Daphnia pulex: one gene and its partners. The protein of the gene in region 4 purifies or fractionates together with the protein of the main gene of each other region. This does not show direct contact. Links are inferred from orthologs where the notes say so. Each region holds a gene or a part of one and is shown on either strand. Other genes may lie near its edges. The genes, in order: protein ECT2-like, ADP-ribosylation factor 6, 14-3-3 protein epsilon and kinesin-like protein KIF23.

Evidence for each region.
Region 1: the proteins of kinesin-like protein KIF23 (region 4) and protein ECT2-like purify together in Homo sapiens (co-immunoprecipitation; 3 studies listed by BioGRID and IntAct, with this or other methods). This does not show direct contact. The link is inferred for Daphnia pulex from reciprocal best matches to the Homo sapiens genes KIF23 and ECT2.
Region 2: the proteins of kinesin-like protein KIF23 (region 4) and ADP-ribosylation factor 6 purify together in Homo sapiens (affinity purification with western blotting; 3 studies listed by BioGRID and IntAct, with this or other methods). This does not show direct contact. The link is inferred for Daphnia pulex from reciprocal best matches to the Homo sapiens genes KIF23 and ARF6.
Region 3: the proteins of kinesin-like protein KIF23 (region 4) and 14-3-3 protein epsilon purify together in Homo sapiens (affinity purification with mass spectrometry; 4 studies listed by BioGRID and IntAct, with this or other methods). This does not show direct contact. The link is inferred for Daphnia pulex from reciprocal best matches to the Homo sapiens genes KIF23 and YWHAE.

What each region holds. Positions count from the first base shown.
Region 1 is NC_060024.1:8,171,905-8,179,638, reverse strand, and holds protein ECT2-like, read right to left. Parts: upstream 5,088-7,734; 5' UTR 4,893-5,087; coding exon 4,781-4,892; intron 4,716-4,780; coding exon 4,648-4,715; intron 4,590-4,647; coding exon 4,326-4,589; intron 4,256-4,325; coding exon 4,043-4,255; intron 3,982-4,042; coding exon 3,835-3,981; intron 3,777-3,834; coding exon 3,642-3,776; intron 3,584-3,641; coding exon 3,433-3,583; intron 3,365-3,432; coding exon 3,141-3,364; intron 3,079-3,140; coding exon 2,890-3,078; intron 2,825-2,889; coding exon 2,456-2,824; intron 2,356-2,455; coding exon 2,236-2,355; intron 2,150-2,235; coding exon 1,981-2,149; intron 1,919-1,980; coding exon 1,764-1,918; intron 1,695-1,763; coding exon 1,609-1,694; intron 1,537-1,608; coding exon 1,338-1,536; intron 1,269-1,337; coding exon 1,167-1,268; 3' UTR 489-1,166; downstream 1-488. UniProt on the Homo sapiens protein: Guanine nucleotide exchange factor (GEF) that catalyzes the exchange of GDP for GTP. Promotes guanine nucleotide exchange on the Rho family members of small GTPases, like RHOA, RHOC, RAC1 and CDC42.
Region 2 is NC_060019.1:11,266,089-11,273,637, reverse strand, and holds ADP-ribosylation factor 6, read right to left. Parts: upstream 5,124-7,549; 5' UTR 4,531-5,123; intron 4,307-4,530; 5' UTR 4,283-4,306; coding exon 4,201-4,282; intron 4,119-4,200; coding exon 4,015-4,118; intron 3,943-4,014; coding exon 3,744-3,942; intron 3,672-3,743; coding exon 3,529-3,671; 3' UTR 2,884-3,528; downstream 1-2,883. Other genes in the region: uncharacterized protein LOC124189974, read right to left, coding at 1-63, 335-407; coiled-coil domain-containing protein 174-like, read left to right, coding at 1,373-1,594, 1,658-1,828, 1,907-2,466; microfibrillar-associated protein 1-like, read left to right, coding at 6,811-7,028, 7,098-7,416, 7,482-7,549. UniProt on the Homo sapiens protein: GTP-binding protein involved in protein trafficking that regulates endocytic recycling and cytoskeleton remodeling. GTP-bound form plays an important role in the transport of multiple palmitoylated proteins form the Golgi to the plasma membrane.
Region 3 is NC_060024.1:10,587,292-10,594,814, reverse strand, and holds 14-3-3 protein epsilon, read right to left. Parts: upstream 4,803-7,523; 5' UTR 4,636-4,802; coding exon 4,572-4,635; intron 2,912-4,571; coding exon 2,712-2,911; intron 2,651-2,711; coding exon 2,544-2,650; intron 2,218-2,543; coding exon 2,080-2,217; intron 2,026-2,079; coding exon 1,811-2,025; intron 1,718-1,810; coding exon 1,656-1,717; 3' UTR 1,268-1,655; downstream 1-1,267. Other genes in the region: INO80 complex subunit B-like, read left to right, coding at 48-253, 309-444; piwi-like protein Siwi, read right to left, coding at 5,874-5,990, 6,057-6,386, 6,467-6,581, 6,647-6,822, 6,893-7,015, 7,087-7,252, 7,320-7,461, 7,523-7,523. UniProt on the Homo sapiens protein: Adapter protein implicated in the regulation of a large spectrum of both general and specialized signaling pathways. Binds to a large number of partners, usually by recognition of a phosphoserine or phosphothreonine motif.
Region 4 is NC_060023.1:8,670,235-8,677,911, forward strand, and holds kinesin-like protein KIF23, read right to left. Parts: upstream 4,281-7,677; 5' UTR 4,103-4,280; coding exon 4,092-4,102; intron 3,963-4,091; coding exon 3,737-3,962; intron 3,659-3,736; coding exon 3,425-3,658; intron 3,366-3,424; coding exon 3,256-3,365; intron 3,195-3,255; coding exon 2,976-3,194; intron 2,922-2,975; coding exon 2,750-2,921; intron 2,685-2,749; coding exon 2,451-2,684; intron 2,386-2,450; coding exon 2,134-2,385; intron 2,073-2,133; coding exon 1,932-2,072; intron 1,866-1,931; coding exon 1,624-1,865; intron 1,561-1,623; coding exon 1,236-1,560; intron 1,175-1,235; coding exon 968-1,174; intron 891-967; coding exon 819-890; intron 759-818; coding exon 594-758; 3' UTR 390-593; downstream 1-389. Other genes in the region: anaphase-promoting complex subunit 2-like, read right to left, coding at 4,446-4,745, 4,812-5,228, 5,298-5,549, 5,622-5,850, 5,917-6,142, 6,201-6,348, 6,426-6,564, 6,632-6,737 and 2 more.

The DNA of each region.
Region 1 (7,734 bases), on a different chromosome or scaffold from region 4:
CTGCGGTGGGTATCCCATGTGTCCCCTGTTTAATTTCTGTGGGACTGCATGCTAGTCTGTTGTGTGGAAACCAGAGTTACATCTTAATTGACGCCCGAATTAGACGGAAATTTTCAAAATGTTTTCGCATCCTTCTTTTTTTTTCTTTCTTCTTACCTTGACGTTTGACAGTCAGGCAAATATTTCACTTGAACATTTTCCAGACGCTGGCTCATTTCGTTCCCGCTGTCTGCCGCTGTATTGTGGTTTCTTGGTTGAATACGTCAAGTATGAGTAGTTTTCAAGAAACTGAGATAAACCTTCCTCAGTCAAACGAACACAACTTGTGCTGAGAAACTAGGCTACTAGGGACACTGTGATAATTACACAGCCCACCTGTAAAAAACCTGTGGGAATGCCCCAAATGAAAATTTTGAATGGGACTTGAGTAGGGGCTACCACCCCATGCCTACATCTTGAAACAAACAAATAATATGGTACCATAGGAGTTGACGTGTTGAGGCTAACTCGACCGAGTCAACGTTGATGTGTGTATTAGAAATTTAGTTTTTCGTTTGATCTACTAGAAAGCAGAGACTAATCAAAAGAAATTGTAAAAGAAATGAAGTATTGCCAGATGCAAAGCCAGCGTAAGGAGCGGGGGATTAGCTGGGACGAACAAAGCATGATAAAATAGTTTTCTCATAATAGAATATAACAGGTGACCGAACATATCGGCATTCTTCAAATCATGTGGGAGGGAAAAGGTTGCCCTGCTTCCGTTGTTACTCTTCCGCTCTATCAAAACAGATTCCAACATCCCGCTAAAGTAAAATACCATCGTCACACAAAATGATGCTCATAATTACTTTAGCTGCCAAGCCCATGTCCTGTAAAATTTGTTTAAAGGGGGGTAGATGCTCACAAAAATGGAGGGAAGACGAGCTACTAGCCTATCCAAAACACACACAAATAATAATAATTGGGGGAAAAAAAAGAAGGTATATGATACATAATGGGAAGACGATAGGCACCCAGAATTGTGAGGATATGATAAATGGTTCATGAAATTGGCTCATAAGAGGAGAAAAATCGCGTTCGCTTGAAGTGAAATCTGGTTCCGCGGTTGGTTCGCCTTTCATTATGTCTATTTTCTAATTTGGTTGAATACTCCGCTGAATGCCAGTTTACAAACGTTTATGCGCATTAAACCCAAGGGAATTGCTCTTGAAATTTTTTAAAGTCGAAGAACTCGGTGTCGTTTTTAGTCCAGTGTCAGAATCCATCATCTTGATAAAGAAAACGGAACATTTCTAACATGGATCTAAATAGTGATTGATAAATTTAAAAAGCCTTACCGCCAAGTTGGCACAACTAGCCGCCATGCCCACCGCTCCGCCGTTCATCATGGGGCTAACAAGAGAGGTATCGCCGAGAATTGAGGTGTTTGAAGACCTCAGCGGACTCATTACTGTGCTCATTGCTCTTTTCAGACGGTTCGGCGTTTTGCTGAAACTGAACGCTCGGTTAACGGCCATGCGAGTCTTTGATGCAAGTCTAAAAAGAAAAATTCAGATATATTTTATGGCTTTTCTTAGGTAAACTTATTTGAGAAATAAAGCGATTTACCTAGCGGCTCTTCTTAGAGTGCCCGAAGCTAAGTCACCTGTATCTATATCAAGCTGACGAGCTTCCATGCACGCCAGGTAGTTTTCCTGTGAAAGCAAAGAATATTGTTAATATACGGATTCTTATTATGTACATTATATATTGAAAGCATGTACCGCGTCCGCCCTGCAGGTGATGTTTGCCATCAATCGACAAAGAGTTTTCAAGAATGCAACTTTGTCTACGTCTTCTGAAGTAATTTCGAACGAATAAAGGCGCTCTTTTGTTTCGTAGTGACTCCGGCAAATTAAGGCAAACACATTTTGACAGTCTAAAACAAAGTTGCGAATGAAGTGATAGACTGGGATGGTCCTATGGCAAAAAAAGATTTACCTTCTGTTTCCGTAATGTCGATAACCCTTTTAACATGGGAAACCGATATTAATTCGACATGCTTGTAAGTAGGTTTGCTTCCTTTATCAGCACCTCCTCTTGGCGGCTGGAGGCTGATTGTGCTAACATCCCTCCTTAAAGTATTACCTCTTGATCGACGCTTGCATATCTATACAAAAAAATAATAATAAATAAATAAATATACAAAAAGTTAAAAATAAAATATGCGAACTAAGCAAATGGCTTTAAATTTACCTCAATGACGTCGGAGAATAAAAAGAGTGTCAGCTGCCCACCACGACCAACAATACCATCGCCCAATTCAATAACGTCGCATTGGGATACAAAGCTACGATGGGAAGAAACAATATGTGCCTAAATTTCAATTTGAAATAATGTAAAAATGAGTTGAAATTTAACATCTATTTTAATTAAAAGAAAAATTATTTAAATGACAAAATTTAACGAAGCTTACAGGACAGTTTTCGATGTCGTTGAAAATGTCAAAAAGGACAACTTGACCCTCAGTCCTCCGTTTGTCTTCATTGATGTGCGTCATTACTTCTTTGATCGTGGACAGAGCTTTCTCCAGTTCACCGTAATCCGGATTGCTTTTTGGGGTCTGCTTGAGTAAATCGTTCAAAAGCAAACTAATGGATGGTAGTCGTTGAACAGGACGAATAAGAAGCTCTTGTAGGCTCTGCCGTCGACATTTGGGATTACTCTGACCCAGTTTAAGGAATGCGTGGAAACGTGGCTTCGATCGGTCGCTCATGCTCAACACTTCTTTGGTTTGCTCAAAAAAGTTGACAAAAGGAGGGTAGGCCTTAACCAAGTCATGCGACTACAAAAGTAAAATATACAGTTATGTAAACGAATATGCTGGGTATGCGAAAATTCTTTACTTACATGCTTCAAAATTAAAGCTCCGACGCTGATGTCTTCTCTCCAGTTGAGTGCGGTATTTTTAAGTTGCACAAGTAACTCGAAATGGATTTCATGGATAGGCGGTAGATTGCCAAAAATGATTTTGACCTCCGTGGGATCAAGCAAAGAGCCTCCAACTTGGCTAGGATCCTCAAGTGGCTTTTTGAACACCTAGGGATGAAATGTTGAATTTATATATTGTGGTAAATAACGCGCAATAAATAACACCAAACCTCAACAATTGTCTCCAGTATTTCCACATAATTCATTTCCGTATGCAACAATTCCATGAACACCTGATGTCGAGGGGACATTGCTTTGAGATCCTGTGGTGTAGGAACGGAAATGGTGAGATCACCTTGACCCCCCACTTTCTCGGGACTCGTGGCATCTAGAAACGATCCACTTAGGCTGAGTAAGCCAGATTCACTAATCGAGGAACGGCGGCGATGAGTGTCTATGAATAAACAACATTTTCGTTAGTCATTAAAAGGGGGAAAAACTCCAAGCAATAAACATTTGTACCATGACCAGACGATGGAACTTGAAGTAAGCCAGGCGATCCTCCTTGAGCAGCAAGTTGAGACACTGTGTCTCTCAAGCGTTTACGCTTGCGGTTTCGAGATCCTGGAGTTGTGGGTGACAATACCCCATTCCTTGGGCTCGTCAAATGAGTCTGTAAAAATCCCGGGTTTTTAGAAGCGTTGAGTAAACAAAAGAATATCAATTATTACCTCTTTATAAGGATAAAGTTTTTCACTGGCACAAATATCCATTTGAATTGAAACCCAAAACCATTTAACTTCAACCAACATAGCTTTACTGGGTAGCTTCTCTGGAATGTTTCCAACTCCAAGGGGGTCTATTACCTATTAAAAGGATTTCGTAAAATTCCACCATTGTAAATCTTATTGACATGAAACTTACCACATGCGTGCAGTTAGGATCATCCAATGTAGTTACAGATCCTCCGTTGGTAGTCAAAATTTCGTTCATTTGAGTAACCTCCTCGTCATTAATACCTATCCAGCAAACATTGGTGCCCTCAAAAATCTTGAGTGCGTTGTTCGTTTGCTGCAAAACGGAAAATATTTGATGTGGTAAATAAATTTCAATAATGACAATGAAATAATACCATTGTGGAGTCAATGGCACGAACACTTAGATCGTGACGTTTTTCCCACGCTAAGTGGACCCACGAAGCACTCATAACTGGAATATTGAATGTGACTGCATACTGATATTTCTCTCCTCCAACTTTATTGGCAATAAGGTGGGTGATTTTGTTACAGTCAAATTCCTTTCGAATGCTGCCACCCATGTGATGGATACAAGAGACCAGTGTGTTCTAGTGATGGTAAAACATTATTCCAATTGTTAAATGATTGGAAAATTGCATTTCTTTTAAAGCAACTCACCACTTCCTCTCGATTTCTAAAGCCAGTGAAGCAGGATACTACATTCTCCATTGAAATAGAAAACAATGGCCGATCAAGTTCAGGCATAAAATACTTCTTAGAAACTATGTCAAGCAAAGCTGAGTAGCCCAGAATCCTGCATTCCTTCTTGTACAGAACCTCAAACACTTCATCGGAAAACTCATACAGAACAAACACTGTGTCATGCTGAGGGTTAACAAATTCAAGACCATCTTCTGAATGGAATACTGGTACTCCAAAACTCTAGAAAGTACATTTTTACAAATAACAACTTTGACATTTTAAATGTATAAAAACTTACTTCGGCAGCTTCTTGAACCCCTTTCACATCACACACTCTTCCCACTAAACATATCTTGGATGTAATAACTGAAATATTTACAAAAATATTTAATAGAAGTGACAGTTCTACATGATAGTAAAAATTTTTATACCTGGATGAGAATCCTCTTTATTCCTGCGAGATTTCTTGGACGGGGTTTGTAGAGTAAGGTAATTCATAGAAGCAGACACTGAACCAGACATGTCATACGTTGTCTCCATCATTTTGATTTAAAATAAAATCCACGGGTTGTAACGTTTGAAAATCAAACTCCCAAAATTTTTCTCAACCGTATAACAAACAAGACTGGAGCTCACAATCGAATTTCAAAAAACAATAAGTAGGCGAGCCATTTCTTCGAGTTTATTGTGCAACTGTAAACCACACTGGACTGCCTTGCATAAATGAAAAAGCCGAAATTTCAAATTTCATACAGCGTTGCCAGACAGTTTGCCCGTGTTTATACGAAAATTTTCCATTATCCTACCGCGACTCCGCGACCGTTATAAACACCATCACATCAATGCATACGTGTGTGTTGGTATGCACCTGCGGTAGAGGATCCTTTCTTTATCTCGGTGCTCACCAAACCCTAAGATGATGACAAACACTTTCAGTTTGCACACCTGGTGACTCGCCTGTTGAGGCATATACTTTAATTCCATTATTTTACCTGCTATTTTTAATACTTTAATTTTTTATAATTTAATTTTTAATAATTTCAATCGATTTTCAGAGTTTTCTGTTATAAACTTAAAATGAACAGGCTACACGTTAATCAATTTTAATTATTAATTCAAATTTTCTATAAATTAAAATAATATTTGGAGTCCAAATTTCACCTAATCTAAATAATGTCTTTCGTTCCAGGTTCTGAAAATATTGTATTATCAAACACAAAAAATTTTTATTTCGAGTTCTAATGTTCTAATGTCTCAACATTTTGAAAACAATTCAAAATATTTTTAAAATATTATTTTGAGCCCAATGTCAGGTCATAGATAAAGACGACTGGTTGATTGTCTCCTATCCTTTTAGCCCTATCCCTACTGACCCCGAGTTCTTGGAGTGCTTGTAGTGCCTCTAGCGGATAAAGTACTGTACTGTACCGAGGCTACGAAGGGTTTTGCAGACGAAGATTGTTTTCCTTCTGTCTTGGTAAAATTCTTGGCTGGCGTTTAAAAGTCCTAGGTAATTTTGTCATAACATTTTTATTAAGAAGTCACATTGTATTTAATTTTGACGTTTTTCAATGGCAAAAGCAGAGAAATCAATTAATTCATTGCAATTGAATAGAATTAAGCAGAGTGTAGAGATGCAAACGTACACTAGACACTAGAGGGCAGGACAAGTAGTCCAAGATCGGAGAAATCGGAGGAAGGGTACACGATTTATGGCAACAGTTGGCCATGTTAATTCTCTTATGGAGAGAGTCAACCAGTGGTCTTTATCTGTGGTCAGGTATAGGGCTGTTCGACTTGTTTTTTTTACAATTGTTACCATCGCCGCAACGCAGCATTTTAGTCAAGATGATGTCTGCTACAATTGTCCGCCCCACCTTGTCTGACCAATTGACGTAGGTCACATGATGTCAGATTTTGTCTGACAAAGCCAGAGAGCCCGCGAACAAAACGATCAAAACCTTTAACGAGAAAGTTTTAATAGTTTGAGCGATTCGTCTAAATGAGGAAAGATGGGAAATGGCCGTCTGTCGAATGTTTGTGGGGGCGTTCGGGAGTTATAGCCTCCCAAAGAGGCGAAATTTTGAAGAAAAATCAAAACTTTTTACGATGAAAAAAATTAACACCAAAAAAAGAGCGTGAAAAACTTTATCAAATGGTATGCAGTCAGACGTTAAAATCCGGGGAGAAATAGGGAACAGGACGCAGGTGGGTAAAGTTTTTCCCACACCTGCCAGTACTTTTTCCAAATGGCAACACCGCCTCCTAACCGCGAAATTTAAAAATCCTCATATTCTGTGGGAATTTTTAGTCTTTAATCCCGAAGTAAGATTCGTCTGCTTTCCTCTGCTCTCTCTAAGGAGAGTTGTATGCAGGGGATGGGAGATAATGGGGACATACAGCCAACGAAGGTCTTATTATTGTTATTATTGTCCTTCATTTTAGACCAATAGAAATTATACAGATCTTCATATTTGTAGAGTACAAAAAATTGCTGCTATCAGAGAGGGAAAACGGCTAAATGTGCCTTTTTACTAAATTGGTCATATCTCGACAAATAAAATATATTAAAAAAACTTTTGCAATTTGGTGGTTGAGATAGCAATTAATCTGTCCATGAAATTAGTTTTTTCTATAGCTCCCCCGCTTTTCATTTTCATAAAGCGATGCAAAAGCCCTCGGCTCCGCCCCGCCCCCCACCCCCCGCATTTATTTCAAAAATAGGCTTTTGTTAAGATGTCATTACAAAGTAATTGTGAATGGTTTTACAGTGTCATCTAAACGGATTCTCATTGCGTACGGGTTTGAAATATCATGTAGATTTGCTGGCTATATAGAAAGCGTCGCAGTCGCTTAATCCATTTTCGCCTTCATTCATTATTGAATTGATTTTTTGCATTTGTTAACAACCCCAAATTCAATGATTGAAAACTCATTGCTTGTCTCTTTTTTAATAAACTAAAAGTGCATGGCACTGGAGCATGCCAAAATTTTATTAAATTCATTTGACGCAGTTCGTTTTGTCCTCGTTCCTCTGTCTTGAACACTTCCATGGTAAAGACAAATTATTTATAATTCAATTCTCAGCACTTTTTAGTCAATTACTTAATATCTTTTTAAATAATTCATTCCAAAAAGACTCACACCAAAAATAAATTGTTGGTGAAGCTACTATAATCAAAAATATAAAAATAATCAAACCTGTCTAAACATGAATAAAAATGCAAAATAATTTGTATAACGACACATAAATTTAAAAAGAACTAGCCCCATCATTCAAACAATGATAAGGATTCTAGAAAGGCACAGAAAAGTGATTGGTACCCTGTGACCATTTTATTGTTGCTACCATGGCTACTAGTCAGTTGTTCATATAGCATTGTAT
Region 2 (7,549 bases), on a different chromosome or scaffold from region 4:
TCTCTTTAGCGATAGAGGCATCCTCGTCGGATGGCAGGCACACGGCGCATTCCAACGCAAAAGCTGTCACACACACAAAAAACGATAGTTTTTAATCAAACCTCCCAAATCAGTTGTGTGTGACCTTCTGTGGAGAAAGAAATGCCATCCCTTGTTTCTTTAAACCCGTTTTTATGACGCGGGAGGAACGAAGAGGAGTAGGAATAAGGAGTGGGTGGGTGGTGGGTCAGCGACGTGACTCTTAATGTCAACCGAGTAGGGAGTTGAAAACACGTTTAATACCAAGGACCGGACGTTCGTTCAAGGATAAACTAAGCGAATCGAATTCACTTGCCTTGTCTTGTGATGCACAAAGTGATGGTGGCGACGAGGAAGAACAGGCAGACTCTGAAGAATCCCATAACCATTTATATATTTTCTTTGTTTAACTTGGGCTGGCACAGTGGCTCGGTTGACGATCCGTCCTCTGTCGCATCTATACCTGTTCTGTGCAGCTGAGCAGCAGCTGAGACAACTAAGGTTCTCTCCATTGGTAGCCGCCTCTCCGTCGTTCGTGATTATCCAGTACGCTTTGCATATAGTCGGGCGATTGTTGACAACAACCGGTTGCAGCGTGTTATTCTTTTCTTTCTTGTGTTTGACGGAAAACATCTGGAAGACACCATCATGAATAGATGGCTCCTGAATAAGCGCACGAGTGCGTCACGATTTGAGGAGGCAGAATGCGCATCTCCATCCATTTTCACCTTTAGAGGGATTTTTTTTCCTCTCTCACCTTTGTTGCCCGATCGATTCGAATGCTCTCACGTCCCCCTCACTCTTTGTAGTTCAGGATTCTTCCGTGGTTTGCATAATGGATAGGGTTTCCAGTGCAGTTTTATCTCTAACGTAATACCTTCCGTCGACTGACGCCCACCACTGTCAATCGAGCTTAATTGGCGGTGACAAAAGAATGAGAGGATAATTGTGGCAGCAACGTCTGTTGAGGGGGGGAATTTTGTGTTTTTCTCTCTCCTTTTGTTAGCCAGCACACAAAAGCGTTGGGTGGAAGATATCGGGTGTACATAGCTCCCGCCCATATCCTTCTAATTAAGAATGGGGAAAATGGCTGTTGGAATGTTCTTTTCTTTCTCTCTATATTCCGTTCCATCGTTTTCCGGCATGAAAATTGAAAGTAATGCTTGTCCGTAGCGGAAACGCCGTTTCATTGTTTACCACCAGGCTCGATTGTTTTGTAAATTTGAATAGCCACTTTCAATTCGTTACGTACTGACTACGCTAACGGCTCTTGGATTTGTTAGTGGCATGCAGAATTTGGCGGTGTGTAATTAATGGCATTTCTGTTGTTGTTTCTCTCTGTGTGTGCGTGCAGAGGCTCGACAGCATGGCGTGGGTTTTTACTCGTTTTCCAAGGATGAAGAGGAACGTGCAAAGCAGATGGAGGAGCTGGAAAGAATTCGAAAATTGACGGAGGCGGCCCGAGCACAGACAACTCAAACATCAGCAGATAAACAATCAGCGTTGGAGGCGCGATTAAAGAAAGTTCGGGATCGCAAACGGCAAAAATTGGGCTTACCTCCTTTGAGTATAAGAAGTGTGAGATTGATGGGCGTCTAAAATGACTGTAATTTGTTTATTTGTCTGCTTGTATTTGCAGAAGAACATCCTAAACGTCTGCCCACACCTCCGGAGCCTGAAGCCCCGCCCACTACTGACAGCGCAAAGGAAGCGGAAGATAACTTGAGAAAGTCGGCAGCTCGAGGATTGCCTCAATCTGCCAAAATCAGACCTTGGGATTTTGGCAAAGAAGGTGTCCCCAAGAAACCTGGTACTAATGTGTTTATCTGAGTCTCTTTTTTAACGAGTAGATTATGTTACGGTTCTCTTGTTTCATCGAATTCTCTAGTTATGACTCAGAGCAGCTGGGTCGAGAAGAAACGGGAGGAACGAAAGGAAGAATTTGCACCTCCTTCCGCTTTCACGGAGAGTACCGATACGTCAAGGCCGAGGAAGTTCGCTAAGCATCAAGATCCAATTATAAAAACGGAGCCAGTGATCAGCGAGGATTCTATTATTTCTGGATTGGCTTTCATGAAGCAGATGCAATTTCCCAGCAGGTCTGGCGTACAGCCATCGCCTCCCAATAGATATGATGGGAAAAAAGACGTCGTTGAAGAAGAAGAAGAAAACGACGATGATTTAATGCCTCCTGGGGAGACGGACGAACCCCACGTAGCAGAGCCTTCATCTAGATGGCGATCAGTGCCAAGTCGAGGAGCTGAAATTGCACCACCCTCCTCCATGGACTATTACAACAACTCGTCAGCACGAAGAGGCGTGTCTAGCCACCGGACGGATGTATCACAGTCATTCAGTGTAGGTATCAACCAACGGAAAAATGCTGGTGATGACAACTCGTCACCAGCGAAAGGAGCGACTCGTCCCAAGTGGGATTTTTCTCAATAAGACATTGGACACCATATGCTTGCTCACAATATACTACACCACAAATTGTCCCTGAAGGGTTATATTGTCTGGTTACTACTACTACCGGACACACATTAATAGAGGAGCGCCCTTTTCTTTTATTGACAAGAGAATGGTTGAATTTGAAAATGAGGACAACGGATGGCCAGTTGGATAACGGAGTTTTCGAAAAAGGCGATTCGAAAACCCGTGCATCCTGCAAATGACTCGCCCTAATTCTTGTTTGATCAGGCGGTGTTAACGTTCGACAAATGACCTAGAAAATCAACTTTCAACATGTCATAGATCCATGTATTAGAGGCAGTGTCAAGAAGTCGCGACTGTTATTTTTGTTTTTCAGAGGACGACCGAGTAATCAAAAGGGAGTTTAGCAAGTCCGGCATTCGGTAAAATAAAAACTGGAACAAATTATGTAATTATATTTACTTAGGTACAAGCAAAAAAATTTTTACCGCGCATTCATCATACATCTACACACTGTGGGCTAGATTCAACATTCTAATGCAATTGAGTAAAAAAGGGATTAAAATAGGGGGGACCGGAAAAGAGATGGTGGAGGCCGAACTCGAGGGATATGGGGAATGGTTGAAAATTTTAGGAGCAAAACTTACACATAACAGGGGATGGGAGAAACAATCGATTATGAAAAGAGTAAAACATAAACGGACGCGGGAATCAAACGGATGCAAATTTATGCAATACAACCCAAAGTTTGAAACAGAAGAGGAGGAGGATTTGTCGTCGTCGTCAAGTTTTTTTTTTTTTTTCATTCAGCACAACAATTTTGGAAGAGCTCGTGTTGTGGGCTTCGTGAGAACAGACCCCACAATATTTTTGTTTTGTTTCAAATTAACTGTGGGCTGCCCTCGCGTCCGGTACGGTATTGATTATTTGATGCCATAGCGCACTTTGGCAACACACTATTGCAGTGAGATGCCATCTTCAATCATATAGTCTTAGTTATTTGTTTCCTAAATCTTTCCTCTACGCCCCACGACCTTGTTGAATTTTGTTATACACAGCACTTGAACGAATGATTCATTACGATTTGTGATTAGATGTTAACCACGTTAGTCCTTCATACAAGCCGTCGCCTGTTGTGGCACATGCTGGCTGGACGTACCAGTTCCGATCACGAATACGAGTCAGCCCCAGTTTTTCTTGAATTTCGTGTGGTTTCATGGCTGTCAACATGAAAATGTCGTGAATAAATTGGGGTTCCACAGTCTCAATTATAATAATTGTAAAATACTCACCATCCTGGAGGTCTTGTTTATTTGCAAATATAAGGATGATGGCATCACGCATCTCACGATCGTTTATGATCCTATGAAGTTCTTGTCTAGCTTCGTCAATTCGATCTCGATCTGCGCAGTCCACAACGAATATCAAACCTTGGGTACCAGTATAATAGTGTCGCCACAGTGGGCGGATCTTATCTTGGCCACCAACATCCTGCAGTAATGATTCATATTTTAGTGTTGGGTTTAGAAATTTGATGGGTGAGGTCAAAAGGAACTAGCTTACCCAAACATTGAATTTGACATTTTTATATGTTACAGTTTCAACATTGAATCCAACGGTGGGAATTGTTGTGACTGACTGTCCTAATTTCAGCTTGTATAGAATTGCTATTTTGAAAAACAAAAATAATAAGTATAACTTGGAAAAAAACCAATGCTATCAGACAACACATAAAATTCTTTATCTCACTTGTTTTTCCAGCTGCATCCAGCCCCAGCATGAGTATCCTCATTTCCTTGTTTCCGAATATTTTGGACAGTATTTTCCCCATTCTCCTAATCAGCTCACTAACAAGCTGTTTTACAAGAAAAGAACTTTATTTCAAGCAACAAAATGACCCTGTCAGCCACAGCCATATAGTTTATCCACATCTGTAGAACTGAAGTGTCAAACTAGTTTGGTAACTTTTCAGTGACATTTGTGGCAAAAGTTGTTATCAGAAAAAAATAAACAGACTTTGCTCAGTCATTTACAGCATACTAGCTAACATACTATTATCAGATCAGGTTTTCCACTTACTTTAATGTAGACTCAACAATGACGTTTACTGGAATTTTAGCTGTAATATGGAAGTATTTTCGAAGGCATTCCTATGAACCGGAGTCGTTATTTGCACAAACACTATTTTGTTTTTGATGTGAGCACTAAGAAATCGATGGAAGGCGTTGGAAACAGGCGAAAATAAATAGTTTCTTTGCTTCTTCAGATAAAAAGGCACCTGTCACTTCAGTTAGCCGCCCAAACACCCGACCCGGTCTTCCCGATATCTTTGCAAGTCTTCAGAAGATCCAAAAAACTCGGGCCTTCCAATGTAATGAACAGACAGAATAGTACTCCTTGCATCTCACCAGATGGCTTTTTTTTCCTTCTTCCAATTTTGGTGACGGCGGCGTCTGAAAACAACTAGCTATTTCAGACTTTAACACATTCCACTCAACTAATCAATTATTTCTATTATTACACTTATTCAAGTGGAATAACGAGAGGAATGACATACACACACCAGTGTAATTGAGCAGATGGAATTCCAACACTGACAGCCAGTGTCCCCTTTTCTGCCCACCTTCTGATCCGCCCACCCAAGCTTCGATTTGATTCGATTTCAAAACCATTCCCTAACCGTCAACGTGTTCCCTCCCACATCTTTAAAATGTATTATTGAAACAACGAGTGATAAATTATTTTATTATAATTTTTAATGCAGGATTCATTGGTTCGAAAGGGGAAAATTTATTTAGCAGTTTCTAACATTTCTAAAAATTTGATCGGCAATACGGCAAGTGTTTAGTAGCGACGTCTATAATTTCAATTTAAGTAGCGGTCTCTGGCGTCAAGATTACGAAAGAAAAGTTGAAATTCATGAACACATTTTTCTTTTTAGGTTGCCGGAAGTCGACAAAATGCCTCAAGCCGGATCCCTATCTCCTCCCTTAACCCCCCGCAGCAACAGCTAACAGGTTGTCTCGGCTATCAAAGTGCATTTAAGGAAGCTGAATTACTCATTTTACAACTGAAACATTTCACCATGTAAGCCGCTAGCCGTAGTCTTTTGTTTTTTTTCCAAAAGAAGCATATTCACCATAAATATGTTCATGGTTTGTACATAGTGTTTCTATACAGTCACCGCCACCATGTTATGACGTTTTTTTGATGGATTGTTATTTCTTGTTGTTGCTTTTCGGACACATGTGTACTTGACTACTCAAAAGATTTGCTTTTCTCCCACAATACTTATTACTGGTTAGGTATTTTTCTATAAATAAGCACACTAGTGCTTGTTGCCTGGAAAGATTTATTTTAGCTCCTTTCTTTTATTACAGTACAAAACAGTTATTTATTAAGAAATAAAATGGAGACATCGAAGTAGAATTTCGAAACCGCACATTATTATGCTATGACGATAAAAAAAAAGCGGTAGAACCACCAAAAATATTCGGTTAAACTTTCGAGCGGATATATTTAGTGGAATATAGCGTGAGGTAAATTTTGAAGTGTGTGTCTAATCGATGTCCTTGAGTTCAATATCTTCGACGATCCGGTGAAAACTGCACGAAGTCATGCGGAGCTTTGAATACTTTGGTGTTTCGAAACAGTTGATAATAAGCTGAAACTCGTAAAACCACCGCCATTGCGATCAAATAGTGCGATGTGTAAAATCTAGCTACGACATAAGTAATTTCCTACAAAGTAAGTAGTAAGTAGGTAGTTGCTATATACAATAAATGAGTGATTTATTGTAACGTCATAATGAGGTCCAAATTCCTAAATTCCGACATTAATTTTCTCAGATTTATTTCGTGATTCTTAGGCACTTCAAGGTAAACGAGATTCCTCACGGTTGCCAATCCCTGGATAGAACTTGGCGAAAGGTCTCCATGGATTTTGGTCACGGCCTCTTTATCCTGATCCTGCTATCAGCTAATAAAACTCAGATAAAACTATCGTGTTTGCATTGTGTTGCCTAGAAGCAGCATAATCAGATTTTCAGTGGATTACAGCAACATCAATTGCTGGGTACTGGTCACAGTCTGCAATAACATGTCATACAATATTACGTGCCATAGGAGACGGCAAAAGTCACGTCATTCTTTATTTCAATTTAAGTTCTTAGATGGCGCAGTAGTCGTCTTCAATTTCATTCGCCAACAGAGGACTCTGCACTCTGGTGATCCGATGAGTGGCCCACTGGCCCTGAATAGAGTATGCAATGGCAACGAAAAAAACATTGAGTGAAAATTCAGACAACAAACGCGTGTATATGGTCGTTCCGTATTAAGATTAAGACAATTTTTTGTGAAAATGTCGTCATCCAAAGTGGTCCCTATCCTTTCAACCGCGGGTGCTATCCCTGTGAAAAATGACAAAGGGGAGATATCTATGCAAAAAGTTAAAGTCAATCGTTACGTATCAGGCAAACGACCAGACTACGCTACTACACATTCATCTTCAGATGATAGTGATGAAGAAGAGTTTATCAGACCAAGAAAGCAGGCAAGAGGAAGACCAGTAGAAGAAAGGTATTAAATTATTGATTGTAGATATGTATTTATATGCTTGTATATTTAAAAAATTTGATTAAATTGTAGTCCTGAAAAAGAATGGGACGAAACCCCAGATCTTCCACTTACTGCTCACAGTGACAGAAGATTAAAACGTCTTTTAAATCGTGAAGTTGACGACCATAGAATTGAAAGGCATCGTCATATCCATGAGCCTGAAATTATTGGAACAGAAGAAGATGAAGTAACACCTCATTTAGAAAGTGAAGAAGTAAGTTTTAGCAAAAATGCCCGAAGATGGGAATCAAGTGAAGAAGAGGATGAGGCAGAAGATCTTGATGAAGATGACATTGAGCGCAGAAGAATGATTGCACGTCAGAAGGCTGTTATTAAACAGCAAGAAGAAGTAAGTTAATATACTTTGTAGTATGATCATTGATCAATTCAATTCAATTGCAAATTTTGTTGTAGGAGTTGTTGGCAAGAGAGGAGGAGAAGGAAAGTGAGGAAGATGAAGATGACGAAGCTTCAGAATATGA
Region 3 (7,523 bases), on a different chromosome or scaffold from region 4:
TTTTTTCATCGCTGTAATTTGAATTGGTTTTTTCCCCGTTTACTCAGAAACGAACCATCGATCGCCTTCTCTTGAAGAAGGAAAGTAAACTGAACAAATCCTGTGCTGCGAGTATTTCGGCTTCAACTTCATCAGCCTCTGTTTCCGTCCCCAGTCACGTCTCTTCCTACACGTGGAAACAAACACAAGACGGGGAGATAACATTTAGTGTACCTATTGGAGCTGCTTTTCCATTGGCCCCACAGAGTGTCAAGTATGTAATGTTTTTCAAATGGATAAAACTTAAGTTAATTTGTCTATTATTTTAGAGAACCACCTGCTCGAGTCAACTGTGGAGTGCAAGGATGCACTAATGTCAAGCGCTACTCATGTTCCAAGACGGCAGTGCCACTCTGTAGTATCCAATGTTACCGAAAGAATATGACACTGCACAGAATATCATGATGATGCGTCTAACATAACCAAAATAAAAATGTGTTTAAATAAGAAAAAAATTATTGTTTGTGGAAACCGAGGACAAAAGAATGCGCGCGTGTATTTGACCTAGCTTTCTTTCTGCAGCGGTCATCCTCTTGATTATTTTGTTTTACAACCAGACAGATGATAGAAAAAGGAAAAGGAGATTATTTTTCTTTGCAAAAAAGGAGACTGGTTACATCACGTCGGACCAAAAAAAAAATTCTTTTCCAAAATTCAAATATTTTTTTTTTCTTCTTGGTTTTTTCCCAACTATGATGGTGAGCAAATGTTTGGACACCACAGAGAAATAAATAGGGAATGGCTCGAGCGACATGGAAAAAGTTAAAAACTTAATAGTAGGCCTAATAGTAAATAGTAAAGGGGGGAAAATGCGATACGAAGCCAAGAAATTATTCTTCCATTCGTGTTTTTTTTTACTTTTCAAAAAATCCATTGCCAATTATTTAGTTGCGGAAAGACTGAATCAAATACTTTTCCACAGTTACCTCTACTCGAATTCTTCAGCTTTCCTCTCTCTAGTAGCCCCTGGTAGAAAATTCAATCCCATTTGATACAAATTTGAGGAAATGAAGAAATCGCGGCAGTTTTACAGAAAAGTTGAAAAGACAACAGCAGCTTTTGTTTTAAAAGGTTACACGTGAAGTCTTGTGTGACGCCAGACTACATCGCAGAGAGAGAGAGAGAAAAATTCCGAAGAGAAATTGAAACTGTGAGTGTGTTGTGTATCGTCTGTGTGTGTGTGTGTGCGGGCACGCTGGATCTTCGACGAATAAAACGACGAGGAAGATCCAAGAGATAACGGAAATGATTATTGGAAATTAAAGAGAGACAGAGGGCAGGGACAACGGGAATGACAACAAAAACCACACACAGCCTTTGCTTATTAATTATTTTTTGTTTGTTTTGTTTTTGAGGAGTTATACACGTGTCCATGCAAACCGTTTCGGTAATTGTTGTAATGCAGTTTCCAGTGTTCGATGAAGAGCGCGGGATGAACAATTAGAGGGAGGGGGAGCGAATGGGAGACAGATAAGAGTAAAGGAAACATAGGTGGTGGATTTCCGGATTACTTTTTTTTTTGTTGAAAAAAAAAAATTAATAATATAATGAAAAAATTGAACAAATCATGTAGGACTTAAGAAAAAAAAACACATCAATACAAATTACATCGCCGATTAGGAGACGTCTTGGTCCTCAACGTCTGCGACTTCCGCTTTTGGTTCACCATCTCCTTGATCAATTTTTTTAAAAAAGGAAATTTTAATTATTAACACACACAAGTCCTGTTGGCGTGATTGGACAAAAATCAATTAGCTGTTGCTCTACTAACCAGCTTCTCCATCGCCCTGCATGTCGGAAGTCCAGAGGGTCAAGTTGTCCCTCAAGAGCTGCATGATGAGCGTCGAGTCCTTGTACGACTCCTCCGAAAGGGTGTCGAGCTCAGCGATGGCGTCATCGAAAGCTGCCTTGGCTAACCGGCACGCTCGGTCCGGAGAGTTGAGGATTTCGTAATAAAAGACGGAAAAGTTCAAGGCCAATCCCAATCTACAAATGATAAAGTTAAGTTGAGGATCGGCAACAAATTGTTAGTTAAGTTACCTGATGGGATGGGTGGGGGGTAATTCCGTCATGGCAATGTCGGAGGCGGCTTTGTAAGCCATCAACGAGTTCTCTGCAGCTTCCTTTCGGTCATTTCCTGTCGCAAATTCGGCCAAATACCGATGGTAATCACCCTTCCTGTATAACACAACGACAAAAGCAGAGGAAGGGAGTTGTGTAAAATCGTCAATAATCAATACCAGGCCATCCATCCACAACATGTCTGCGCGCACACAAAGTTGCGCTTGGCGCAACGTTTACGTACGATAAAATTGTGTACACGTTTGGTAGAGATAGTAACGACACTTTTTCTTTTCTCTCAAAGCGAAACACGAGTAGAATTCGAAATCACAGACGCTCGAGTCTCAAGGACTTTGAGAGAAATCCACCGGTGCATTTAATAGGAATGTCCAACTACTACTCGCAAGATTGAAAAAAAAAAGGCCAAGCAAAAATCGATTTACATTTTGTAGTAAAAGACTTTAGATTCTCCAGTGGTGGCTGATGGGATGAGATGCTTCTCGAGGACGCTCAAAATATCAGAGCAAATGTCCTTCAGCTCTTTCTCGACCTATAGACAAAACAGATAAAGGCACAAATCAATGAATAAAATTTGAATACATTATCCATACCTGATTGCGGTAATTGCGGATGAGTTCAAGTTTATCTTCGGCTCCCTTGTTCTCCTCTTTCTGTTCAATGGACGAGATGATGCGCCAAGATGCACGACGAGCGCCGATCACATTTTTGTAAGCCACGCTCAGCAGATTCCGCTCCTCGACAGTCAACTCGACGTCCATCGACGCCACCTTTTTCATGGACTCGACCATTTCTGCATCAACAAACAGATTATCATATAGTCTTAGCCAAAGAAACTTGTCAGAGGATCCCTTTCTCTTTTGGACAGAAAAAGATAGATACACTTTCAGACATAAAGGCTTTGCCTTCTTTCCCCCCCATCTCCCTGTCTACCCCACCCCCCACACTCGAGCGACTTTTCAAGTAGCGGATCAATAACGGCCACGGGAGGAAACACGCTACCGCCTAGTTCCGCCCGCTCTCCACACATCCAGCACGTCGCAGTCGTCATATAACCCCCAACATCAGCATCCCCACGGCGGAAGGAAGGAAAAGTACAGGGGCAAACCGAGTTGACGTTACGCACACACACACAAAACTATGTGTGTCCTCTTTTTTTCTAAGGGAGGAATTGAAAAATAAAAGTTTCTCCAGCTGGGCGTACATGTTTGAATTCAGGGAAATAATAATAACCAGACGATCGAGTTGTATGCACGGACAGGCTCTCCACTTGGATTCACATCGCAGTGGCGTAATGACAGGTTCTAGGGCGACACACCCACACCGCATTTTCTCTTCTTTCCAACTTCCCTCCATCATTGAAACGTGAAGGGGGGGGGGGGGAATAAAGTTAAAAATATAAAAACTAATTTTTTTTTTCTACAACGACAAAAGGCACGAGACGCGTCACGTGCGACAACTATTTTTTCGAAAATATGTGGAAATAGAAAAACGCCCCATTCATACCAGTTGGAATATTTTCCTAAAGGAAAAAGACGAAAAATAAAAATGGTGGCTAATTTTCCATCGGGTTTCTCCGCCCACTGTCAGAGCTTGACCGATTCTTGGTTTTTGTAAGCCGCAGACAGAAGAGTCGAGAGAAAAATATAGAAGAGAAAATTAACCATCACAGGCGGCCATTGTTGTGTGAACGGTTTCCTTTTTGATGTCCTCGAGAGAGAGAGAGAGAGAGAAGCTTTTTTAGACGGCACGTTTTCATCAACGTAGCCAGGACCCCCAACGCATCACGCACATAAGGGTGGGGTACTCTACCGAGCGTCGTTTTGAAGAGATCCGTCGCCTTGGTGATGCGCAATGGTGAGAGGCCCAAGTTGAATAGAAACGACTACGTATTTTTCACGAAAAAGAGAATAAAAAAGTTATTGGAAAGCAAGTATACAAAGAGACAGTCCAAAGTCTCTGCTCTCTCTCTCTCTCTCTCATGACTCATTGATCCAAGTCATCTCGTTACGTAGCGGTAGGTTTCGAGGAAAACCACCCAGAGATACACACACACACCGGACACACACCCAGAATTACTTTTTTTTTATTTCGTACTGCGACAAAAACCCTCAAAAGAGATTCTAGAAAACATGGCTGAGATTATACTATACTTGATAAAATGGAATTGTCAGGAAAAATGAACCTCAAGTACGAGTGTCATATTGATCGAAAGTATTCAAGCCAACACTAAGAGGGGGGACGCCGCTGAATTTCCCCATTACACAACCGAATGTACAAGAAAAAAGACAAAAAGTCAAAACGTCATAAGTCTGTCAAACGCCCAAGCCTTTTTTCAAAGCCGCCTACCGTCTCGTTCGGTTTTACCCACAGAGATGCACAGTCATAGAGACACAGAGGAAATGAAACTTCATTCTTTTTTTCGATTTTACATTTAAATGACATTTACGTACCATCGTATCTTTCGGCTTGTTCGGCGAGTTTTGCCTTGTAAACGTTATCCTCTCTGTCTGCCATGGCTGCTGGAATAAACTATAAGCAGATGTCACTGGATAAAGAAACAAAAGCGAGACCGTTGGAATCGGAACCTGCCTCGAATTGTCTCGACTAAGACCAAAGAGTGTAGCTAGCAACTGAGACTCCACCGTACGCTTGCTAGAATGCTTTGCCCTGTAGCTAAAGCGGAAAATGCCAGCGAGAGTCGATGGGATGGGAAGAGGCCAGATTGCCAGATCTCGTTTCTTATTACCTATGCATCTAGCAGCGTACAGTGCTGACATCTATACAAGGCCAAACACCTTTGGGGGCTGTCTAATCTTTTAGGTATTTAATTAATTCTTATGAAATAAAACTTTTATTCAAATTTTCTATTATCCGAGTAATGACATGTTCATTCTAATCATTTGATTCTATGCATACTTTTTGTGAATTCATTATTGGATGTCTAGCAACCATCTATTTTGTTACGTAAATATTATTTTATCGTGTTTTTAAAAAGCTTCAAGTTATGAAATCAAGTCATTTTATAGTATTGAAATAATTTTTATAAACGATTTAGTTCGCTGTGGGACGATTGAGATCCCTTGGTTACAAAAGAGACAGCCGCATGGTGTCTCTAGTGGACAATTAGCAATTCAATGACTTGCGAGTTCTTTTGGCTTTTGCGGACCTGAAAGTTGACTATCGAGGAAGCCCAGACGATCCTGCCCAGACGTACCCTTGTTGGCCTTGCAGGCCTGCATTCTTCTCGATACAGCTGTCAGCTTGACCACGCCTGCCAAGCAGCGATGCCACATTCTTTTGTTTTCCTCAGTGCTTTCGAAACACCTAATGTGCTATGTGCATTGCACACGTAGAGCTTTTCCGTCAATGCCATCTCAACGCGAATTCCATTGCAACTCATGTTTATTTCATCATATAAAAACTCACCACACGAAAGTCAATAAATCTACTTCATTTAAAAACAAAGGTTTATTACTCATTCCTTGATTACATACAACATGGCACAAAGGGGCGTTCATTATCACACTTCTGACATGGCCCATGAAGGTGAAACAGAAAAAAAAATTGCATGAAAAACACTTCCATTGTCGATATCCGCCATTGCAAACAAACTCAAGAAAAATATTTTTGGCGTCATTCGAAAATCGTGCGAGTGAGGCATGTCTCGTCGTCTTTTAGTTTTTTTCTTATGAGTGAACAAATTAATACGTTAAAAATGACAAAACTTAGGGAGAAAATAAATGAAAGGTAATTCAAAGGTAATAAGGAAGTCGATTCAGTCCTTCATGCGGTTGCGTCATCATTGATTCACCAACAAGGTACGCCAACTTGTGCGCATACTGGATGGGCGCTGGAATACGCAGGGTACCCTTAAATGAACAAATTGGTTAAATTCAATTCTGAATAAAATAGACAATAAAAATAAAAAAACTTACAGGCCAATTGTAGTAAAGATGGGTAAGAGCATAAGCCAGTCGCTGGTGAATATCAGGGGCGATTCCAGTGTCATCTTCAATAACATTGTAGCTGGTGGGAGAAACGGTACCTTGCGTAACTTTTTGAGACACCAGGAAGAAGTCGAATCTCTCATTGAGCGTCACTTTATTGTCGACAACCGTGCCGCAAGGAGGGTTGCTCGCTCCACGTTGTCCCATGGCGAAAAATCGCGTGTTGATCCGCTTGCTTACGACAATGAACGCAATGGGTGGATTATACACACCAGTCCCGAGGTAATTTGTTCGAGCACCAGCATCGGAACAAGCCTCCTACTCAAGCCAAAAAATGATAATTGTATAGAAAAACGAGCCTCAAAATCTTCCCACAGACCGTCACTCATCATTATTACCCTCAGTGCCGCCACTTCCGTATCCTTCAGTCGCGCAATGTCTCCAGCACCGACACCGTCACGGTAGACAATGATTTTTTCCGGCAATGTTTTTTCGTTCATGATGTAATAAGATCTAATTGTGCGAATGAAAAAGAGATATTATTTTGCACGGAACAAAGAAAGCATAATAAAACATACTTGAGTGCGCCAAAGAGATGATCTTTGAAGCTGGGTGAAATTTCTTCATTGTTTTCATGAATTTTCACAGAAGAATAGTAACGCGAGAAGGTCGGGTTGATGGATGCAACAAATGCACCGACAGCTTTTCTTTGACGTGCATCGTGGTACGTATCATAGCCGATAACCATCCATTTCTACATTCAATAATAGCCAAAAGATAAATTAAGAATTCAAGAAGCAAACGTCTCGATCGAGAAAAGTTACCGTCTGGGGGACTGCAACTCTCCAAGGTTCCGCACCCAACTTCGAAGCAACTTGAATCATAACTTTGGTGGCGATTGACATGAGCTTACCGGGCTGTCCCTTGATATTTCTTCCCGTTATCACCTGTGCAAGAAGATCAAATCTAGTTAAACAATCATGAAGATGCCAACTACGATTCCCTTTCAAACGGATACCTGAGATGGAATGCCGAATTCTGAGATCGTCATCTTCTTGATTGAAGCATACGTATCTGCTCGTGCAGCACGCAACACGCAAAAAATAAGGCTGAATTGCTTTCGACCACATTCCGCTCGAATAGCCTCGACGTAGTTTGACGTACGGTCCATTTGCATATTAATACTATTATTGAAAATCGTAATTTAAGAATGAATTGAATATTAAATATATTAGAAAAATGGTCGCATACTATTCAGGTTGCGGGATGTTAAAACCCTGTTGAGCTCCAACTTGCTTCATCATATTAACGAAGGGTGTGATTTCTTGCATCATTGCTGACGGCGTAAATACAACCCAATCCTGTAATTCCACAGACACACACATCCTGGATCCTAAATCGATTAATAATTGATTAGTACTCGGATTCGTCATTTAATGTAAAGTATAACTTACG
Region 4 (7,677 bases):
TTGCAGCCTCACAATTCATAAGTTATTCTTCATTTTTACACTGCAGACGAACTTCCGTAAGGACTGGAAAGCAGTGCTGCCGCTCTGCCAGCCAATTTCCGAAGCTCGATGTCGCTAACTCGCTATTTCTTCCTCCACAAAAATAACTCGCTATTTCTTCCTCCACAAAAATAACCTTTTTACTCTATTTTCGACATCTTCGAAAGAAATGTATGTAAATACTTGCGATAACGTTTGGCGAAAGCCCTAAATAGAACGTATGAATAATCACATGTTCTTCTTACCTTAACGTAACGCATAACTGATTAACTTCCACGATCTCACCTTGTCAGAGGGGAGAGTATGTAAGTGGAGAGATGTCTGAGTTAGTGAGTTTCAAGACAAACCAATTGTTGACATAGCTGTTCGGTGTATTATGTATTAACGAAATACGATAGTAAAGTTATAATGCACATGTAAAAGAAATACAAAAAATTTTTCAAGACGAATTGCTAAAAGTGAAGCGAAAAAAGCAGGGGCGAGAGAGGGAAATCCGCTAACCTAGTTCAAGAAATTTTGTTCGTCGATCAGTTCGGGCAGGGTAGCAAGTTCTTTCAAGGGCAGTGCTTTTTAACGCGACCGTGTCCTTCAATGGCGTAGCCGCAACGGTTCTCAATATCAGCAACACGACTGTGTACATCCTTTAGTCTGCCATCACTATGGCGCTTGGCAGCAGTTGGTGACGAATGTCGAAGAATCTCAACGTCTTGCAGCACAACCTTTCGAAATAGAGAAATTAAAAAATCTGGGTATTCAAAAACAATTAACTAAGTATTTACCTGAGCTCCACCACCGACAGTAGTCAACACGTCGCCTTTATAAAGTTTCGTTTCGATTTCTCCGGACGAATCCTAAGAAAGACAAAAATAAAAACATCCTTTAAGTATAAGCTTGGTTGGAATGTGCTGTTAGTGATCCAATAATTTACCTGTTCTTGCGTTGTCAGAACGTATTTCGAAACCTTTGGATCGGTGATCGTTTTGGAATCTACTAATTTAGTAATGGATTTAGCACGATTCATTTGTGGTTGGAAAACGGTATCTGTTTCAAGAGTGTTTTCTGGGCGATGGTCTATCCATCCCTTACCAGGATCTACAGAACGTGATCGGCGTTTCCTAGTGGATACAACTGGTCCCTACAAAAAAAATACAAATTAGACAATCTTGATCGACCCAGAGGGAATTTTAGCATCTTACTCTTAAAGAAGGGGTTCCAACGACTCTGGGATCAGAGACGCGATGTGTAGCTCCAATCGAAGGCGTGCGTGATTCGGATTCGCTAGATCCACTTGTGCCAGGAACTTTAACTGAGCAGCCGGCATCCAGCAAGTCGCGCATAACCAGAAATCTTTCTGTTTGTCGCTGAAGTTGAGATTCTACTTGCTTATAACGGTCCAGTTCTTTCTTTAACTTTTCGCGTTCCAATTGCCGTTTTGTCTTCTCCTTGGCTTTTACGTGTTGGATTTCCATCTCACCCTGATTAAGAAGGCAATCTTTCTCCTTCAACTCTTCTTCCAACAACCTTAAATGAGAAAGACGAAAATTAAAAACTGGTGAATAGCCGTTTTTATCTGGGAATATTTACCTGGCGTATTTTTGATGCTCGAGTACATGGCGCTGTAAGGTAGCGTTAGCCGATTCCGCATTGAGGACACGGTTTTCAAATGTTTGACAACGCGAACGCTCATCTTTTAATTGCTCGTTCAAACTCAAGTTCTCTTGACGTTTCAAAATGAGCTCCTCTTCCATTTCACGAATAAGAGTTCGGACTTCGACACATTTCTTCATTTGCTGCTCCCGGCGACTCTGTTGATCACGGATTCGCACCTTTGAGAAAGGAATTACACACGTGTATAGCATTCGCAAATTTATGCTGAAATATAAAACAACTACCTGCAGATACTCAACCAAGGCCGTTATAAGTCGATCATCCGATGCTGATTGTAATTCCAGAGGAGGCCACGAACAGCGAGCCGCACTGAAAACCATATCAATGTCAAACGGCACTTCTGATTGGGGGTTCGAAATTCCACCCTGCAAAATCACATTGAAGTTAAATATGAGACTAATAAACTCGCATTGATGGAATAAAAACCTGTTCCAGTTTGCGATATGCCTCGGTTAGAACACGATTGGCCTTTCTGCGGCCTGGGAGAAGGGCGTCTCTTCCAGCTGGCGTTGCTCGAGGAGTAGCTTCCAAGCGAATATTGGGCTGTACGGCACGAGCGATTTGCACTTCTTGAGCCATTTCAGCAAAACGCATCACGGAAAGAGTTTCGTCGTAATCATCCGCACGCGGGTTCACGCAAACAATCATTCTAACCTTTCCTTCGCCGTCAAAGTAACTCTGTTTACAAAACATTTTAGCATTTAGTAATATTAGATACATTATGAACTTGACAGGACGCTTACCTTGAAAAGATGTGTGATTTTAGAATCACGGTAGGGCACCATTTTATTAGTGCCATTCAATTGGTTTTCGCGCAGAATTTCCAAGCAAGATCGAAGCGTCATCAAGGTGTTGTTGATGCTACCAGCTTCACGCAAACGTTCGCCAGTGGTTTTAGTTCGACTGTTTCTTTCTGAACCAGCAAGATCAACTAATGAGAGCTGTCCTACAGTTAGCACCTTCTCTGGAATGGCACCCTTAAAATTAACAATTGATTAGTTTTTTAATTAAAATCGCAGACTTAGTGATCGATCGATGATACCTGGTAATCAAGCGGAGCCTGAACAACGCGGATGTTAAATACGGAGTGGCTTCTACTCGACTCTGCGTTGAGAGTAGTGTGAGCAACACGGCGTCGCTTTTGTCCCTTGGCAAGAACTTCAGCAGCTTCATCGGCCGACTTAACTTCAACTTCAGTCACAGCATGAACATACCTGCAAATAAATAGGTTAAAGCAGCTCACCTTAACAAGTGAACTGTTCACTTACATATTGTGATGTTGGTCTTCTCGTAAGATTTTTGATTGTATCTTGCCAGGTCGAAGAGGATCGATAGGAGTATCGTCCAACAGATCGAAGACTGTATTGTTGTAAACTTCAACAAACGTTACAAAAACTGAATAAGCCTGGTCTTCATCTAATGCTGAAATCCGTGTAGCATCCGTTACGCGCGGCCCTTCGTTCTCTTGTCCTCTGCGTGCAGGTGTCCTAAAGTATCGCAATTATAATTAGATTGTTTCAAAAATTTTTAAGAATTTGGTATTCTTACTTGAACTTGTTTGAAGTTTGAGCTTCAGATTGCCTTTCTGATAATGCATCAATTTCACTTTGGATTTCAAAACTGTTCATTTTATCTGGTTTGAAGATATACTTTTTAGCCTGGTAGATTGAAGATTAGTTAGTACAACTGTATTGCGACATTTTTATTTTTGAAATACCTGGTAGTGACCAATGCTGTTAAAAATAACATCCAAACAACGAGGGATAATGCCACCATCCTGCAGCTCACCATTCATTGTGTGTGTTTTTCCTGATCCTGTGACTCCATAGGCAAATAGCAAGCTATTCTTTCCATGAAGCAAGTCTTCTATTAGCGGTAAAGTCACAGTGTGGAAAATAGGTTTCTGTGTGGTCTTCTCGTCAAACACACCAGTGAATGTATATTGTGTTGCCTATCAAAAAGAAAGCAAGATTAAAATACTGAAAGTACTTTCAAAAATAAATTGCTGGGAAATAAAGTGTCAACTTACTTTTGTCGTTCCACTTCTGTAACCTTGAGAAGTTTCTGGAGGTACAACTTGAACTACAGTGTCACTTAAAACAGTTACACACGAATCATCAGAGGGGACATCAAGAGGTCTGATTCTGCAATACACTTGCACAGGATCCCGATCTCTGGAAGTCATCAATGCTTGTTTGGACCGTGCTGGGGTAATTGGTGGTTTGGTTGGCACCTTAGGTGCAATCTTCAATCGCCTAAGATCAACATAAAACATATTCTTAACTTCTTTCGTATACAAAGCATAGTGAAAAAAAGAGCATAATCGGACATGAAGAGAGCACGAAACACAAATCACACACTAATACGGTTTGTAGAAAACTTACGATGGTTTCATTTTCGAGCCTATTCGGTTCAGTACTTATGAACCCCTGTCAAATATTTAAAACGAATGAGGGATTTCAAAATGTAAACCGATTTGTCTGTGCAGTGGGCAAACTTTTTGGCCGTTGTCGATTGTCGTTTCATTCAAACTGAGTGCAGCATCGCCAAATCGCCAGGTGTGAATTCGAAATACAGCGTTGCCAGTAACCTGACTTATTTATGACATTGAAATTTGAAAATTCGAATACAAATATTAAACGTATTTTAACAACTTTTTATTTCATTACAGAGGTAATCACTTCAGAAAATTTATTGTAATGAATACACATTTTTAAATTATCATTAAAAAAATTAGTTCATGGTTTGGGGAGTCTATACATTCCAGAGGAGAAAGACAACAACTGTTGCTTAACTTTTGAATCAAGGAAATTTTTCAACTGTTGCAGAGTGCACTCTGCCCCACTAGAGCCTTGCATTGTAAACATTTTAAGCATCTGGTGAATACGCTCAACTGGAAGGGCTTCGAGATTTGTCAGCATGCCAACAACGTACGACCAATAAACTTGCAAACCATCTTCTTCCGTTTTTTTCTCACTATCTTCCTCGTCGTCATCTTCTTCTTCTTCCTCCATTTTCGCTAGCGTTTCTAAAAGAATCTACGAAAAGGACGTAATTGCAAAATACATACATTTGAGAAACGGTAATAACTTTTTAAGATATACCTTATGTCCTGTGAAATTTGGTCCATTTTCATCCACTTTGAAGCGATCAGTAGAAATTTCCTGGAGGACCCCGTGTGTTTGCCACACGTGAACTCGCCTTCGAAGATGAGACATTGGTAATTCCATTTCCTGGCTAAGCTCTTCCAAATCCCATTGATCCTTGTCTTCAAAATGAGATATGATGGCAGCCAAATCGGGCGGGACGGTGAAAGACACGCAACGGTGATTATCAAACTCCAGTTCCAGTTCCACAGAACCCGACTGAGGTACCCAATGCAGAGAACGACTCGTTTTCACCGTTTTATAGTTTTGATTATATTGTTCGAGCTGGTTGATGATTTTGATCGGCAACTTCATCGGTTTGTCCTTCAGCTGGTCCCAATACTGAGCTGATATAATCATAGCCGAAATCGGAAACTGGATGGAAATAAATAGAAAAAAAATTAACTTTTATTTATCGATGCGCTAAACGAATTAAAAACGTACTTCAGGTTTGTGCACGACCGACTGTAGGTGGGTGTTGATTCTCTTGGAGTCTGCCACGTCCTTGAGCATCACTTCGCAATTGTGCAATTCGTTTTCTCCAAATCGAATTTTGAGAAATTCTAAATTACGAATCTCTTCTTCTGTGTCAAAATGAAGGTTCAGGAGCAATCGATCCGACAAAAGCTTGCGATATTCCTTGACAAACAGGCTTTTACTGCCGTAGATGTTCACCAACATTGGTACAATATCGCCCTTTTAAATAAGAATTTGTTTTACAGAACCGAAACTATTTTAAAAACATCTTTATTAACAAGATGAAATTACCGGCTTTTTTCCTGTCCAAAGTTTGCTAGGATCGGCATCGCTTGGTGCTGGAAGCCAATTTTCCCAATCGGTTGAGGCTTCGGTATCTCCAACTGCTGCAACAGATTCTTCATCCAGTATAGCAGTTCCCGTTCTTCCCAACTCAAGCTCTCCGCCCAGCTCTCCGCTACTGTCAGTCAAACTGTGAATTATATGCCGAACAGTGTCTCCTCTAAGTCGCAAATATTGCCTGTTGGAAATAGTTGAATACATCATAAGCCAAAAGTGACGGATCGAAATTGAATAATAATAATACTTGATCGGATCACACGCTACATCGAGAAGCACGCCAGTGGGATCAAGTACGCTAAACGCTCTTATGGCCGATACGTAGGCGATTAGTATGTCTTCTGTTGTGGCTCCCTGGTGAAGCAATCTTGCTTCTAAAGTCGTTTTAAGAGACTGCGCCAAAATTGGTTTCAACTGCGTCCGTGAAAGGCATTCCTGTAAATCCTTTACCGAAGGAAAGCTCTCGGGGTAGCCTATTACAAGAAAGATTATGAAACAATGAACACAATACATGATTTGGAATTGACGAACCGATAATGATCTCGAATAACTGTTCGATTCTAGCGTGTGTATAGGCGTGGTACAGGAATTGGGTAAAATTTTTTCGCACTTGATCCTGTTGGATGTAGTCTTCTCCATAGACGATACCTAACCACCGAAAAATTATGTTTTGCAACCACTGCAAATGGTTCAGAACAAGAAACGAACAGGGTGATTCAAATGCCCATTAAGACCATTAGCACATTAATAAAATACCTTTTCAAGCATTTCAATTTGAGAAGAGGAAAAGTTTCCTACACATGAATCCTGGACATGTGATTGGATTTGAGTCAAAATGAGAGTGTGAATCATCCCCACAGATAGTTTCTCAAGTATTCCTATTTCAGCCAAAGCCCTAAAAAAATAAATATGATCAAATGTGCTGAAACATAATCAAAGAGAAAAATGTTTTTTTTTTTTACTTGTTGGTGTTATGACAATTGTCTAGAATGACATTACATTCACATTGATCAATTTCTTGGTCACACCCTGAACAGTGAGTGATAACATCACCAGACTCATCTCCATCTTGAGTAGAAAGATGTAAATTAAAAATTCAATTATAAACCTACTTTAGAACAAGTATAATACCAAAGTTAAAATTCCTTTTTTCTAAAGACATGAATGCTCTGAAAGCTCGGCTGTAGAAGAAATTCACACAGCATTCAAACTTTGGTGGTATCTGAGACAGCAAAATTGCACTGAGGTGTGCCTGATATTGGGCGAATGATTTTGGCGTGACATTTCCTGACAGGTGATCCAACAAGGAAAAGTAATGCTGAAGGCTTTTAATGTCGGTGTTCAGAACTTTAACAGCCTCCCTATAGTTTTCGTAACCAGAATTTTCATTCTGAGTCACTTCAAATCTGGACCAAAAATTAGGGGTTATCCTATTTCGTGTGTCATTGAACAGCTTCTGCCAAACCAATTCCTTGCTGAAGTCTACCAAATCATGGTTAACAATGAATTCTGCACATCCTTCAATTTCGGTTCTGTCTAATTCCTTCTGCATGTAAAAATTCAAACGGTGAGCGTGAAACAAGAGTAATGAAACAAATCTACAAGTAACAAAAAAAGAATCATACTTGACATTTTCCATCAAGGTTCAAAGTTTGTTTCAGATAGTCCCAAGCAGATGAAACTGGCTTCACTGTGTTCATTTCGTGCGAAAATTTTGGGTTTTAACACGCTCTTAGAAAAAGATACAATTTTCATAAGAACTTCAGTTCAGACAAAAACAGAAAATTGTTATTTCAAAAAATTTGCTAATTTCGTCTGCTGGGCTACAAATGTCCACCCGCCAAAATAAAAGAACGACAACTAGAGACGACTGGTGGTAACTATATGCACCAGAACTAAGGAGGCGTCAAAAAAAAAAAATACTTTTCCGGATATAATTCTACAAAAAAGCTTTGGGGCTTTAAATGTCCACCTTCAGTATTTAAAAAAGATAATAAATTAAATATAA